Linked DNA regions of Elephas maximus indicus. The protein of the gene in region 1 purifies or fractionates together with the protein of each later gene. This does not show direct contact. Links are inferred from orthologs where the notes say so. Each region holds a gene or a part of one and is shown in the gene's direction. Other genes may lie near its edges.

What was found. Proteins that work in one complex are often made in the same cells at the same time.
Region 2: the proteins of ANKRD17 (region 1) and HOXB6 purify together in Homo sapiens (co-immunoprecipitation; 3 studies listed by BioGRID and IntAct, with this or other methods). This does not show direct contact. The link is inferred for Elephas maximus indicus from reciprocal best matches to the Homo sapiens genes ANKRD17 and HOXB6.

Annotation. Positions count from the first base shown.
Region 1 is NC_064823.1:84,411,396-84,419,388, forward strand, and holds the start of ANKRD17 (ankyrin repeat domain-containing protein 17), read left to right. Parts: upstream 1-4,930; 5' UTR 4,931-5,134; coding exon 5,135-5,506; intron 5,507-7,993. Other genes in the region: uncharacterized protein LOC126076716, read right to left, coding at 4,586-4,822.
Region 2 is NC_064837.1:44,923,398-44,930,984, forward strand, and holds HOXB6 (homeobox protein Hox-B6), read left to right. Parts: upstream 1-4,515; 5' UTR 4,516-4,881; coding exon 4,882-5,296; intron 5,297-6,315; coding exon 6,316-6,575; 3' UTR 6,576-7,203; downstream 7,204-7,587. UniProt on the Homo sapiens protein: Sequence-specific transcription factor which is part of a developmental regulatory system that provides cells with specific positional identities on the anterior-posterior axis.

The DNA of each region.
Region 1 (7,993 bases):
ACCCAAAGCTCTTTCTTACATAATTCTCAAGCCTGATTTAGTTCTTTGCCTCATGCTAGTTTCTCTCTAAACTTTATTACAGCCATCTTGAAGCCATCTGAAACAATGGACTTGGTTAGGAAGACCAAACCCTTGATCTGATCTTTGTTGCAGGACTAAATCATAAGGAAACTGTACTCAAGGTCTCTTCCAGTTCCATTTTTACTGTCTGAGGTCTAGAAAGTCAGCTTTTCCAACTCTTCCAGTTGCACATATCCCTGCACACTTTCTATTCCCTTTCATTTCTGCCAATTATTTCCTGAGCTTAGCTCTTACTTGTAAAACTTGGTTAAAAGTAAAATGTAAAAAGCAACACACACCATTACTTTGACTATTTTTCGACCATTTCCTCTAAAGCTACAGTGTCAGCAGATATGTGGTCTGCTTTTCAATAATCACGGGTGATAGTTTTACAATTACTTTGCCCCTACAATACATGGGCTTCTTTCCTCCACCCTCAATCTAAGTTTCCCCATCACCTGTTGAATCATTATCAAGCCAATGCCAAATATTTTAGGTTATTTTCTTAGCAGTACCCAACTTCCTGTACCAACTTCTGGATTAGTCGTGGTCATTCTAGCTCCTGTAACAGATAAAGTTCTCAAATTTCAATTTTTCTCTTTCACGAGGAGTCCAAAAAAGGGTGCTTCTAATTGGTGGGTAGCTCTCTTCCAAGTAGTGATTCAGCCACCATGCTCATTCTCTCATCCGACTCTAGCATCGTCAACATATACTTTACAAGGTCACTGTGCTCACTGGTGTGCAAAGAGCTGGAGATAGAAAACCAAAAGGGAAGAACACACTTGGCCTTTCTCAAGCTGAAAGAACTGAAGAAAAAATTCAAGCCTTGAGTTCCAATAGTGAAGGATTCTATGGGGAAAATATTAAATGACGCAGGAAGCATCAAAAGAAGATGGAAGGAATACACAGTCATTATACCAAAAAGAAATAGTCAACCTTCAACCATTTCAAAAGGTAGCATATGATGGTATCAAAGGAAGAAGTCCAAGCTGCATTGAAGGCATTGATGAAAAACAAGGCTCCAGGAATTGACGGAATATCACTTGAGATGTTCCAACAAACAGATGTAGCACTGGAGGTGCTCACTCGTCTATGCCAAGAAATATGGAAGACAGCTTCCTGGCCAACTGACTGGAAAAGATCCATATTTATGCATATTCCCAAGAAAGGTGATCCAACTGAATGTGGAAATTATAGAACAATATCATTATTATCACACACAAGCAAAATTTTGCTGAAGATCATTCAAAAACGGCTGCAGCAGTATATCGACAGGGAACTGCCAGAAATTCAGGCTGGTTTCAGAAGAGGACATGGAACCAGGGATATCATTGGTGATGTCAGATGGATCCTGGCTGAAAGGAGAGAATACCAGAAGGATGTTTACCTGTGTTTTATTGACTATGCAAAGGCATTCGACTCTGTGGATCACAGCAATTTATGGATAAGATTTCGAAGAATGTGAATTCCAGAACACTTAATTGTGCTCATGAGGAACCTTTACATAGATCAAGAGGCAGTTGTTCGAATGGAACAAGGGTATACTGATTGGTTTAAAGTTAGGAAAGGTGCGTGTCAGGGTTGTATCGTTTCACCATACCTATTCAATCTGTATGCTGAACAAATCATCCGAGAAGCTGGACTATATGAAGAACAGGGCATCAGGATTGGAGGAAGACTCATTAACAACTGGTGTTATGCAGGGACACAACCTTGCTTGCTGAAAGTGAAAAGGACTTGAAGCACTTACTAATGAAGATCAAAGACCACAGCATTCAGTATGGATTGCACCTCAACATAAAGAAAACAAAAATCCTCACAACTGGACCAATGAGAAATATCATGATAAACGGAGAAAAGATTGAAGTGGTCAAGGATTTCGTTTTACTTGGATCTACAATCAGCAGCCACGGAAGCAGCAGTCAAGAAATCAAACAACGCATTGCACTGGGTAAATCTGCAGCAAAGGACCTCTTTAAAGTGTTGAAGAGCAAAGATGTCACTTTGAAGACTAAGGTGCACCTGACCCAAGCCATGGTATTTTCAATCACACCATAGGTATGTGAAAGCTGGACACTGAATAAGGAAGACGGAAGAAGAACTGATGCCTTTGAATTGCTGTGTTGGTGAAGAATATTGAATTATACCATGGATTGCCAAAAGAAGGAACAAATCTGTCTTGGAAGAAGTACAACCAGAATTCTCCTTAGATACAAGGATGTCGAGACTGCATCTTACATACTTTGGACATGTTGTCAGGAGGGATCAGTCCCTGGAGAAAGACATTGTGCTTGGCAAAGTACAGATCAGTGGAAAAGAGGAAGACCTTCAACGTGGTAGACTGACATGGTGGCTGCAACAACGAGCTCAAGCATAACGACGATTGTGAGGATGGCACAGGACAGGGCAGTGTTTCGTTCTGTTGTGCATGGGGTCACCATGAGTTGGAAGTGACTCGAGGGCACCTAACAACAACAACATGCTCAATGGTATCAAGCTGATGAGGAAAGAGTAAGGAAAATCCTGTATGGGAGGAGTTTATGAAGTCTGAAAATGAGCATATCACTTTTGTTTACATTCCATTGGGTAGAACTCAATCATGTGGCCATACCTAATTGTAAGGAAAGCTGGGGAATTTAGTCTAACTATATGTGTAAAAGCGTCCATTAATGAATCAGAAATGACTTCATGGCAATGGGTTTGGTATATGCATAAGAATCAGAACTTATTTTCTTCTGAGTAATGCGGTTACTTGAAATAGAGCCTTTCTGATAGAGTGATAGCTACAAAAGTTAGACTGCAGAGGGTTGGTGGGTGAATTTCAGATAATAAGTTAGAAACATAAACTGTAGTATACTCTCTAAAGATGTTTGATCGTGAAGGAAAGGACATAGAGTGAATGTTACAGAGAGATAACGAACCAGAAATGTGGAGAACTGTAGAAAGGAAAAGATAATTAACGGAGGAGAAAGAGATTAGAACTAGAGTATGGATGTAGAGTTAATCTTGGTTAAGAGGAGGGAATTTCTCATTCTTCTGATACTGCAGAAAAGAAAGATCTGGAAGCATTTCGTTTCTAACATTTGGAAAATTGAAGTTTTGTGCCGAACAGTTTCAATCTTCTCTGAAGTTGGAAGTAAAGTGATATATAATAAAATGAGGCTGAGATTTAAAGACTGTAAAAAGTATTCTGGTAGAACAGGAGAAAAGGGTGCTTAAGGATATACAAAGTAGGAGGGAGGGATCAAGCTGAGGTTATAGAAGATATAAATCTGTAATGGTAAGATACACAAAGTGGTGTACTGTTATACACTGGAACTCAGCAAGTACTGAAGGAGAGGAACAGGCAGATGGCTAGCACTTTGTATGCTTATTTACGATAGCGCTTATTACACTATAAAGTCTCTGAATGCAGAGACTTTGATTTCCTAAGTACTTGACACACAGTAGGCACATGATCAATTTTTGCTTGAATGAATTGATTCAATCATTGCCAATTCTGCCATGGTACTCTGTAGAGTACTGGCAGCTACCCACATTTCATGTGGTATGCCAATGCTAGAAGAAAAAAAAATGCTAAAAATTTCAGGCACACTCAGCTAAACTTAGCATTCTTAAAATGGCAACTATGTCAACTGAGACATACTTTATCTTTGTTTCTTAGCCAGTACATCTGCTTTTGATGTTTGCTTCTTTTTCCTTATGCCACTGTGCTCATTCTAGACCAAAAAGGAGTAACTGAGTTCAATACACTATCATTTCAAAAATCCTAGAAGTCCTTCGGACACCTAAAAATGAACTCACAAACCCCATCTCAATACTTCTTCCAAGAGATGTACAGAGGCAAGGATGATTATTTAAGACGACGACTTCACAGATAAATGTTGAACTGCAAGAGCTAAATCAGGGTCATGCAGTAAACCGTATCCAAAGTGTGGCACACATCCCTCTTTTCCTCTGAGACCACCTTCCCCCACCCCCCCACCCCCCCGCAGCAGCGGTAACAGCGGTGGTGGTGGAGGAGGAGGTGGCAGCGGCAACACAAGCAGCAACAGCAGCAAGAAAGAAGAGGAAGATCACGAGGATCTGTAGTGATCTTGGACATCTCATCCACCTCCTTCATATTACACAAGAGGAAACTCAGGTTCAGGAAGTCTAACATCCAAAGACTTAAACGTTAAGCAAAGAAGCCTCTTTCCTTTACAAGACGCTATCTCTCAAAATCCAAAATCCTAATTCGTGATTTGGAGGCCGAAACAAACTGCCAAGAATTAAATGAAAAGTATGTACAGCAGCTCAGAATGAGGCTCCGCCTCCCGGATCTGGCCGATCCCGCCTCCAGTTAACAAAGCGCTCGGACTGCGCTGCAGCACCGGCTTCCCACACAGCCCGGGGCCCGCTCCTCTCCAACTTCCCCGCCCGCCCTACTCACGACAGCACTACCCTCCCACGGAGGCCCTCGAAATCTCACTTTCGCCTTTCGGCCACCGCGCGCCACCACTCAGGCGACGGCTGATGGCGTCACCTGCACTTCCGCCTGCGGGTGCGTTCTAGTCGCAAGCGAGGAAGGAAAAAGGGAGGGCTGAAAAGCTGTGTGTGGGGGAAGCAGCGAGGGAAGAGATGCAATCCACGCGCTCGCGGGCGCTACGGCAGTAACATCGGCCCCCTCTGTCCCCGCCGTCCCCCCATCGGAAGCCCCCCTAGGCACACTTCCCCTGCCTCTTTCCAGTCTCTCCTTCTCTGGGTCTCTCGACACCCACATCTGCCTCTACGGGCTCCCCCTCCCTGCTCCCCCAACCTTTGCTCCCTCACGCTCCCTCCCTCCCATCGTCAGGCTCCCCACCCTTAGTATCGCGAGACGAGGTGAGAGCTGGCGGAGCGGCGGCGGCGGCGGCGTTGGCAGGAGCAGCAGCGGCAGCGGTAGCAGCAGCAGTAGCAGTAGCAGTAGAGGTGACCGAGGCGGTGGCGGCAGAGGCGGCACCGAGTGCTGTGTGGGCCCCGGTGCGGCCGAAGTCACGGTAGAGCGTAGCCCCCACACTCCTCCCCCGTCCGCGCCCTCCCTCTTTCCCTGGGGATGGAGAAGGCGACGGTTCCGGCGGCGGCGGCGGCTGAGGGAGAAGGGAGCCCCCCGGCGGTGGTGGCTGTGGCGGGCCCCCCCGCGGTGGCGGCGGAGGTTGGCGGCGGCGGTGGCGGCGGCGGGGCTTGCTCGGCCTCGTCTCCTCGTGGGATGGTGCGAGTCTGCGACCTACTCCTGAAGAAAAAACCGCCGCAGCAGCAACACCACAAGGCCAAACGTAACCGGACTTGCCGGCCCCCCAGCAGCAGCGAAAGCGACAGCGACAACAGCGGCGGCGGTGGAGGCGGAGGAGGAGGAGGCGGCGGCGGCACGAGCAGCAACAACAGCGAGGAAGAAGAGGACGACGACGAGGAAGAGGAGGTTTCCGAGGCAAGGGCCTGGTTTCGGAGGAAGGAGGGAGGAAGGGACTGTAAAGGGTAGGGGCCGAAGGTGGGAGGTATCTGCGGTGGGACCGATTCCTGTGGGTTGATCCTTAAGGCCTGGCCTTTCTAGTGTCCCCATTCTTTCCCCGGCTTTCATCATGAGGCGTGGGAATGTGGGGGAGGGTAGCTGACACGTGGGGGTGGGTGGACCACGGAGTCCACGGAGTTGGTGAATGGCAAATTATCCTGGCATGGTTCACATGCTTAAGGATGGAGGAAACTGTTTAGATTCCCCATTTGCACACCCAGGCTTGGGGGGATCTGACTAGGGCCAGTTCCTGAAGCGGGGGCGGGACCAAAGCTGGAGGGGTAAGATAATAGGTAGATGAGTCTCTTGGGGAAAGATTAGGAGGTTGATAAATTTCTCCCAGTTGTGAGGTGAAGGGAAGCAGTTTTCTGGGGAGGTAAGGTTGTAATGGGCTCAGCTAAGTATTTGTGTATGTGAGAGACACGTGAGAAGCTGTACTTTTCCATATTGTTGTTCTGCTGCAGGTTTTTTTCATAGCTATTGTGGCTGCTGAAGTAACCTTCACTTCTCCATCTCTGAAGGATTTTGGATGACCTGATCTTACATCCATATACAATTATAAATAACTTATAAGGTGGCAAATATATTTTATCCTTATGTGCACGTACATATATATCTTCAAATAATTTCTTAGTGAGGAAGAATTAAACTAGGGCGTTTTGTTTTCCGGATAGTAGGGGACAGCTGAAGAGTCTGCTTTAGAGCCAGAGTTGGTTGTGGTGAGTTGGAATAGGAAGGCCTCTTGGTTTGTCCTAGTGATCTGGTTTCATAATAACTGTTTATTTTTCCTGGGTCCACAGACAGGCGGCGTTACAGGATCTTATTCTTCAAAGGCAGCCATATAACCCAAAAGCTGAGTAAAACATACCATACTGACAGCAAATTAAGAGTTAGCTTTGTTAGCTGCCAGCTCTATTGTAATTCTCTTGTCCACTCCCTGAGATGGAAGCTAAAAAATCTTATCTGGAGAAAGAAGTAGTAACTTAAGGTAGGAGAAGGAAAACAGCTTTAGAGGCTGATTATAAACTTAGTTATACAGGTGAGGACAACTGAATTATGCAGAAGTACCCATTGCCATTTATTCCCTTCCACAAACAGATCTTATTTAGTTTTTTCTGAAAATTGCATTTATTTGATCCTGGGCTCTGTTCAGATAGCTGATAGTCTTTTATATGGGAACATCTTTTAAAGGATTTAAGATTTATCTGTTAGTTGAAGATCAGATTCTCTTTTACCTCAGGCTGGAAGAAGTTACACAGGTAGAGATATAATCACTTCAGTATGTATACCAAAGAAATGGACACTCACTACTATTATTTCCATTTACGTTATTTGAGTCTGAGGATAGATTTGTATTGACATTTTATACTGACCTATTTGGATGTTTCAGGGTAGTGTATTGCTCAGGTTGCATTTGAAACAATGCAGAGAAAGATAGGTCCCATCCTTAAAGCCAATAAAATCTACTGCAGTACTTAGAATCATTCAGAGGTGAGAAAGATGTTAGAGATAATCTAGTCCAACCCCTTTACTTTAAAAAAATGAGGAAACAATGGTTTAGAGGAAACTGATTGTGGAGGGTAGTAGCAGAAGTATTAGCAGTAGTAGTTTTCTGATGGCTCAGGCCAGCACACTTTTTATGATAATTTATGACATTGTGTTCCCCTCCTTCCTTTTCGAAAATAGATGGTGAATTGCAGGGTAACACGGTAGTGCAGCTGTGGGCAAAATAGCGTCCTCCAACATTAAGCTCTGGTTTGGAACAAGATCATGATAGTTGAGTACAGTATTTACTGGAATAGTCTACTGTAAACTTTAGATACGTAGGTAGTTTAGTCCATTGGAATTTGGCCTAATAAGAAAAGCTTTTGGTAGTGTCTTAAAATCGTGTAAAATGGCTTTAAATTTTTAGGTATGTTAATCTTGTGGGTCAGATTTGTTCTGTTTGGAAAATGGGAGTGGAGTATATTGACTAACCAGCTAGGTGTTTGTGTTTAATGTGCTTTGTATTGTCTTCTGTATAGTGGGAAAAACAATGCGTTTGTCATTTGTTATGAAGATGAGTCAGGAGAAATAAGTGTAATAAAGTACAACTATGAAAAATAATCTATACAGGTACATGGTGAGAGATGACCAGACAAAGGGTACAGTGTTTCTCTCTACACCTGCTTCCATCCTTTGACCAAAATAAGTAAACCCCGCAGTCACTGTACACTATAAGTTAAATGGGTGAATTTAAAGTATGCAATACTTTTAATTGTCTTTTTACTGCATGTTAGCAGAAATTTAACTTTCTAGAACTAGGAAATCTTGTGGCTAATGCACGTAGTATTTAAGGCTTTTTTGTAGTTCTTCATTGTTACAGGCTACACAATTAAAAAGATGTGGATAACATGATCCTTGATT
Region 2 (7,587 bases), on another chromosome or scaffold:
GTGTGTACAGGGTTATTGGTCTTTCATTGCAGAGGTGGGCGGAGAGGGACGCAGCCACTTGTAGCGCGGGAGGGGGACCTGGGGGCCCAGGTGGATGCCTTCCTCGCTGGCTGGGACTGGGCGCCTCGAGGGATCCCTTGGCTGCGTAGCGAGAGAAGTTCTCGGCTAGCACCCACGGCTCTCAGGCCTATTCTCAAAGGACAAATTTCCCAAACCCACCCAGACTAAAGGTCTTTTTCTCCTGTAGTCTTGGTGGGTTATAAATCGTCTCTTAGACAGTTTGCTCTCTGACCCAAATTATGCGGTTTGCTGCCATCTACTGTCCGTGCCGAGACACGCGGCTTCGGCGCTGCAAACCCGCGACGCTGCGCGAGTGGCGCCCGCCGCCTGGAGCCGGTGCCGGGCAGGTTTGGCGGATTACGGGGATTTCGGGGCCAGAGCGATGCTTTCCGCTGCATCTTGCTTCCTGGCCGACTGGGTGCGCATTGGAGTACAGGCACCCCCACCTCCATCCCAGCTCCAAACCTGGCAGGGGAAGCGGCTTTTTCTGGGACACATTTAAAAAGGTCTAATACAACATCCAGCGGGCGCGGGGTCCTGAACCAAAGCGTTGGGGATAAGAGTGGCAAGTCCCCCCACCTCCACCCCCATGGGCGCGAGAGGGGGTCAGGCCGCTGGGGAGATCCGAGGCCAAGGCTGTTCAAGGTTTATTTGGTTTTCTTCTCGGCCAAGGGAAGGGGCCGGCAGGGGAGGCGCCGGCCCGGCAGTTCCACTTGGTTGTCAAAAGACAAACCAGGTCTGTGTTCTCCCTGTTGGCTGGCGGGTCTTGCCAGTTACTTGGCTGGTGGGTCCTTGGTGAAGGAATTGAACCGAGTGTTCTGGAAACTGTTGGTATCTGCGAGTGAGTGTCCGGCCCCTCCCCCATTCCAGATCGTTTCCAGCGAAATCGACACAAATACACTTATGGGAAAAAATTGGGAGTGAGAGTGAGGAGAAATTATTCAGGAACCAAACCATTGCAATTTCCGTTCCTGCCGGACCCCTCACACTCACTTAACCTGACTGCTTTCGCAGAGGGGGTGGTGAGCGCGGGAATACCCGCCTGTGTGCCGCGTTTGAATATTGGCCCCTGTCTCACGGGTTACTGATTAGCTCGGGCTTTCAAGCCGCAAGACCAAGCTCTGGCTGCTCCTTTCAAGGTGCAGTGGCTCAGGTCCCGGGCGGGGGCTTCAGGAGATTGCCTGCGGTGCCAGGCAGGCTAAGGTGTTACAAGGGTCTGGCCGGAGCTAGAGATACTCCCAAGACCCAGGAGCTGACAGTGCTGGGGGCAAGAGCAGCGGCTTCGGCCCTCCGCCCGCGGCCGCTCCTTGAGTCTGGGCCGCAGGAGCAGCCCTTTCAGCTTTTCCGTGGTGGGAATGACTTTATAGCAGTTAGAAGACCGGCCCAGGGAGGCGCCCTGCGGGTGGCCCCGAGGGAGCCTGCCAGAAAGGACTTGGGCCCCTCTGAGGTGATTTCTTGTGGACAATCAGCAGGACGGTGGGGAGGGGTAACCCAGCTGGTACAGAGGTTTGAAACACTTCAGGGCTTTTAAGGTGCCCATGGACCTAGGGGGAGAGGACAGGGTGAGTGGGCCTATAGCCACCGCCTGCTCCTCCCTGAAGATCTGAGATGCTGCCGCCTATTTGCATAATGGAAATAGGATCTTTGTACAGCTCTTTCCATGGGCCTTTTTTAAGGCGAAGTATCCCATCCAAAGAGCATCCTAACCTTTAAGAGAGGCACACTGTTCCCCCCTGGGAACATTTATGTTCCCCAAACCAGAGAATCAGAATTCGGGGAGGATTGGGTTGATGGGTTTTAATCTCCCCACCCCAGCCGGAGTTGGGGTGGGGTGGAGAAGGGACCACAACCCAAAGAGCTTGGGGGGGGGGCTTTGTAGGCCAGAGAAAATGGGAAGGCTGGAAATGTCTCTACCCACCCCCCCCCCCAACTACTTACAGGCAAATATACCTCCCTGTGGTTACCCGGACAGGAGAATTTTACTCCTGAGCCGAACACAACTAAAGAGACATTTCCCTGGGAGCTGGAATGTGTATGGGCCACACAGGACTTGCAGCACAGAAAATTACAATTATAAATCCTGCCTGTGGGCTATCTATACAATCCTTCTGTTGTGTACTCAAGAATTGGTATGCATTTATATTCACTTCTCCATTCACACACTTCCTAGTCAAGGCAGGGAGAGGCTCCCCAGCGGGGCAGACGGCAGTGGCCACTGTGTATTTACATATTCCTCTGCGGAGACAGACTGACTGCGGTGGACCGAACCACAGGCAGATTCGTAGAGATCTGGCTCCAGAAGCCAGGCGGCCTCTGGCTGGGCCCTGCCCGCCTGCTCTTTCTCCCAAACAAACGGATCAGACGAATAAACGCTCATAAATACCTCTGGGCTTAGATAAGAGCGATGAGGCGCTATTTCCTTTCATGCCCGACTCCAGGCGCCTTAGCCCTGCCTACGCGGCTCCATCTCGCGACAGGCAACCTGCAGAGGTGAGGTTAATTTGGGGGCTGCGACTCTTAGGATAAGGCTATTATTTTTGTGCTTATACCACAAGGGAAGGTCCCCTCCCGCAAATATATATTATATTACTTTGCCCAGAGCCCACAGGGAAGCCCATAACTTCTAGTCCTAGGATGGGGGCATTGTGGCCAGGGAGGAGGCAGGCAGGACTGAGGCTCAGAGCCCAGTTTCAGTGGCAGAGAGGGGTGGGGGGCCGTGGGGGAGGGGGGACATACACCGAGGCACTTGCTCCCCCTGCCCAAATGGCCCCTATTCCTCCCTAGGAGTGGGCCCAAGCACAGCTAGATTGGAGCAGTTATGCTTCTCCATCGTTAGAGGGTTTGGGTTTCTTTTCTTAAATCCTCATCAAAACCCCCAAAGCCAGTATTAAGGAGTGGTGGAGGGCCACCCAGGGATGGCCACTTGGCCATGAAGTTGCAGCCTAGAAGTTGCCCTGAGTTCAGGGAGCCCTGGAAACCGCTTTGCAGTCAACCGAGTCCCCATTCTTGGTCTCCCCAACCTCAGTCCTCTACCACCTTCCCTAGTGTCTTGTGCCATCTTTGGCGGGCAGAGTTGGCCCACAAAAAGGAGCCCAAAGAACTAGGCAGCGGAGGGGCAGTCTAGCCCAGCAGTGGACTTTGCCCCACACCTTGCCACTTTCCTGTCCCCAGGTCATAAGCCTGTCACCCTTCACTGCCAGGTTTCTGCATTCATATTAGAATGTTGAGAGTGCATCATGGCCCAGACCCCCCACCTGGCCTCAATGCCCATTTTCCTTGGGTGAGAGAGAGAGCCAGGGACACACACTCTCTCTCACCTCTAAGCTTGTAGAGCAGCAAATCTGGTGATACAAACTTGGTGATACAAACAGGGTGTGGGAGGGAATTGTAGAGATGCTGAGAGGCAGACAGAAGGATTGTAAATGTCTGGAGAGGGGATTCAGGCTGATAGTTGGTGGCTGCCTGCCGAGTCCCCCGGGAGAAATATGACTCCTCCCTCCTTATAAAACTAAACCAAAACTAAGTCTTAGGAAAGAATTGATTTTAAAAAGAACTTCCAGCTTCTAGAGAGACCTGGAAAAGGGGTGAGGGCTACTTTCCTCCCAGTGGTGTCTGATTGCCTGAGATATTGGGAGGATTTGAAGACCTGGAATTGAAGGAGCAGCAATTTCTTTCCTGTACCCAGACTTGTGGGGACAGTCTTGATTCCTAAGACTCTGTAGCCCAGAATATTCCCATGTCATTTGGGGTAAGGAGTGAGGGGTGGAGTGAGGGTAGAAGGCAGAATAGAGATCAAATAAATAAAGGCATCTCACTCCTCCTCTCCCTAGCCCCAAGTGGGGAGAATGCCTAGTCCCTTTCCCCAGTACCCTTGCCCCTGATGACAGCAGCGGGATGTCTTGGGCAGCGACAGCCCCATCTGAAGGCATCCAAAAGGCTCCTAGTCTTGCAGCAGACCCAGAGAGGGCAGCTTGGGCTCAGACCCTCCTTCCATTTCCCAGTCTTCTGGGCAGGGGGCTCTGGCCTGTCTCCCTCAAATCATAAGAGTTATGGAAGCAGGAATGATAATAAATCTGGGCTTGGAGAAGAGAGAGCAGATCTGATAAACAAGGCGGGGGGGGGGGGGACAAGATTTCCAAAACCTGAAACGAAGCGTATTTCTTCTTCTCTCTCTTTCCGAAAGCGATGCTAATTAGACAGCGGAGAACTCTTCTGCCTTTTACCAACACTAAACCCTAGAAACAAACCTGTATCTCGCTCTGGAGGAGACTGGGGACATTTACCCAATCCTACTTGGAGGGAACGGCCCCAAGCAACGCAGGGGTTAACTTTTCTGAAAACACAATGAACTTTTTCCTATCCTGCGTGTGTGTGTGTGTGGAGGGGGGGGGAGGCATATATTTATTTAATCACTGGGGGATGGGGTGGTCTCGATCCAAATGCTTCCTCCTCCCTCAAACGCACAGACGCCTCTTTCGCACATCCTACGTAGGTGGAACAGGACGCGTTGTGTTGTTGAGGGAGAGAGAGAGAAAAGAGAAGGAGAAGAAGGAAGAAAAAAAGGTTGATAGGTTTGTGCGCGGGTCCCTCGTGCTGGCTGCGCTCCTCCTGGGTGCTATTTGACAATTCCTGCCTCTGCCATTGGTCAGTGTTGGATCAGATGGTTGTATTTCCTTCTGGCCCTCACTGGCACCTCGCCATCCCCCCTCAGCTAAAACCCAATCTCGGATATACTACTAATAGGCGCGGCGCTCGGACTATAAAACACAACAAATCATAAACCCGGCGGAGCAGCAGCGGCCGCGCGCGCCTCCCCTCCCAATGAGTTCCTATTTCGTGAACTCCACCTTCCCAGTCACTCTGGCCAGCGGGCAGGAGTCCTTCCTGGGCCAGCTACCGCTCTACTCGTCTGGCTATGCAGATCCGCTGAGGCACTACCCCACGCCCTATGGGCCGGGGCCGGGCCAGGACAAGGGCTTTGCGGCTTCCTCCTACTACCCGCCGGCCGGCGGCGGCTATGGCCGCGCGGCGCCCTGCGACTACGGGCCGGCGCCGGCCTTCTACCGCGAGAAGGAGTCGGCCTGCGCACTCTCGGGCGCCGACGAGCAGCCCCCGTTCCACCCTGAGCCGCGGAAGTCGGACTGCGCGCAGGACAAGAGCGTGTTCGGCGAGACAGAGGAGCAGAAGTGCTCCGCTCCGGTCTACCCCTGGATGCAGCGGATGAATTCGTGCAATAGTGAGTGAGACTGCCCGCCGCCGCCCGGACCCGCGGGCCCTCACCCCCGGGACAGTACTAGCCAGGTCCCTTTCACTTCCCCACAGGCTGCCGGTGGGCATCTCAGTTAGGATAGGGGAAGGTGGGCGCCTGCACCGGGTTTTGCACTCTGTCTTCTCGCCCCTCAGGAGTTAAAAAGTTTGCAAAGTCCCAGCTGGACTCAGAGCCAGGAGGAGCAGTGGGCTCTCCCAGAGCGCCAGGCCAGAACGGGGATGCCGGGTCAGCAAAGGGGGCCCGGGCCACAGCCATTGGATTTGCTTTCCTTTGCGCCCCCAGACCCTAGTCGAGTCCCCCACCCAAGGACCGCTCCATTAGAAACGGCGTGCGTCATGCGGGGGGGGCGGCGTGACGCCGGCAAGGGAGAGTGGAGTCTGTCCCAGACTGTTTCCCTGGGGGTGGGAGGCTGGGGAAAGATGAGGCACCAGGAAAGGGGGGTAACTAGAGGAAGGAGGGAGAAGAGGAGGAAGGACGAGAGCGGGCAGTGGGGGACAGAGGGGGAAACAGGCGCCTGGGTTTCAGGTTGGATTATTTGTTCGCCTTAAGTCCCAAATTGATGTCCATTAGCGCGACACCAAAGTGAGGAGCCGTTAATGCTGCCTATGGATCGATCCACGTCATTACAGATTAAGGGCCGGAATCTATCACAGCGCGGGCGGGGGAGAGCTAGACAGATGGAAAGGGAAGGAAAGGAAAGATGGGGCTAGGAAGACACACACCTGGCCAGCGTCTTCCCAGCCCCTCCCCCTAGGCTCAGGTGGGAGTTCAAACCGCTCCTCCACCGAAAGTCTAGACAGGGAGGGCGTAGGCCTGGGACACCCCCAGGGAACCTGGAGGAGGCGCTGGAGGATTGGGGGAGGGGGCAGGGACCAGGAGCGTGGAGGGCATGCCGGGACAGGCTGGAGTCCACGTTTGAGGGTCCATGGGGGAGGGGGTTCCGGCCCGGTGATCCCAGGCCTCAGCATCTCCTCTTTGCGTAACAGGTTCCTCCTTTGGGCCCAGCGGCCGGCGAGGCCGCCAGACCTACACGCGGTACCAGACGCTGGAGCTGGAGAAGGAATTTCACTACAATCGCTACCTGACGCGGCGGCGGCGCATCGAGATCGCGCACGCCCTGTGCCTGACAGAGAGGCAGATTAAGATCTGGTTCCAGAATCGGCGCATGAAGTGGAAAAAGGAGAGCAAACTGCTCAGCGCGTCTCAGCTCAGTGCCGAGGAGGAAGAAGAAAAACCCGCCGAGTGAAGGCGCTGGATATGGAGGGGTGACGCGAAGGGAGAGGCACTTAGGGAGCCCACGGCGTCGGAGAGTCCCGAGGACGCTCTGCAGGCGGGGGAGCCCGGGGGTTTGCTTCCCCGCGCCACAACCGGCGGGCCCAGAGCTCTCCCGGACGCCCCCGCCCACAGAAGTCCCGCCCAGGCGCTCGGAGGTCGCGCTTCCCCAGCACACCCCGCACCCGGCGCCCCCTGCCTCCCCGCGGAGACCGCCGCGGCCGAATCTGGCACCCCTCGTGAGAACCAAGGACCTGATTCACTTGATGTTTCCTGGAAGCAGAGCAAAATGCTCTTGTCCATGTCGCGTCTCCTCATGTCGTCTATGTCCCCCGTGCACGGTTCAATGGTAGATTCGCTGTCCCCTCAGCGGGGCCTCGAAGACTCCCTGACCCCAGACCTGTTGTTTCTCCCACCCCCTCCCCAAAGCCACTGGAAGGAGCACATACTACCTAGAAGTAAGAAGAGGAGCCTCAGAAGAAAACAAAGTTCTATTTTATTAATTTTCTATGTGTTGTGTTTGTAGTCTTGTCTTAGCTCTGGACGTGAAATACTTCGGTAATAATATTAATATTATTAATAATGATAATAATAATAATAAAGACATGAAAACTCGCCGTTCAGTCATCTCCGCTCCTCCCCTGCCACTTTTTTCTCCCTCCTCCCCCCCGCCCAGCCACCCTATCTGCCCTGTGCCGGAAACTCCGTAGCAGAGGCGGGAGCCCTGGTCAGCCCCTAGGCCTCCCTAGCGGGCCGGCTGGACAAGACTCGGAAGTTACAGCTGAGATAAAGGCAGGAGCGGTCCCGCTCCGGCCCCATCGCCGCGCCTTGGCGGTGCGCAGGCTAGGAACGGCCTCTCCCGGTGCAGACTTGGGGGACGACGGGGGCCGTTTCCCTCGTATTCTCTAGCTTTTCCTCGTTTGTCCGCAGCACGAGGGACGCCACTGAGGTCCTGTACCCCGAGCTCCTGCAGAAACCGAGTCGGT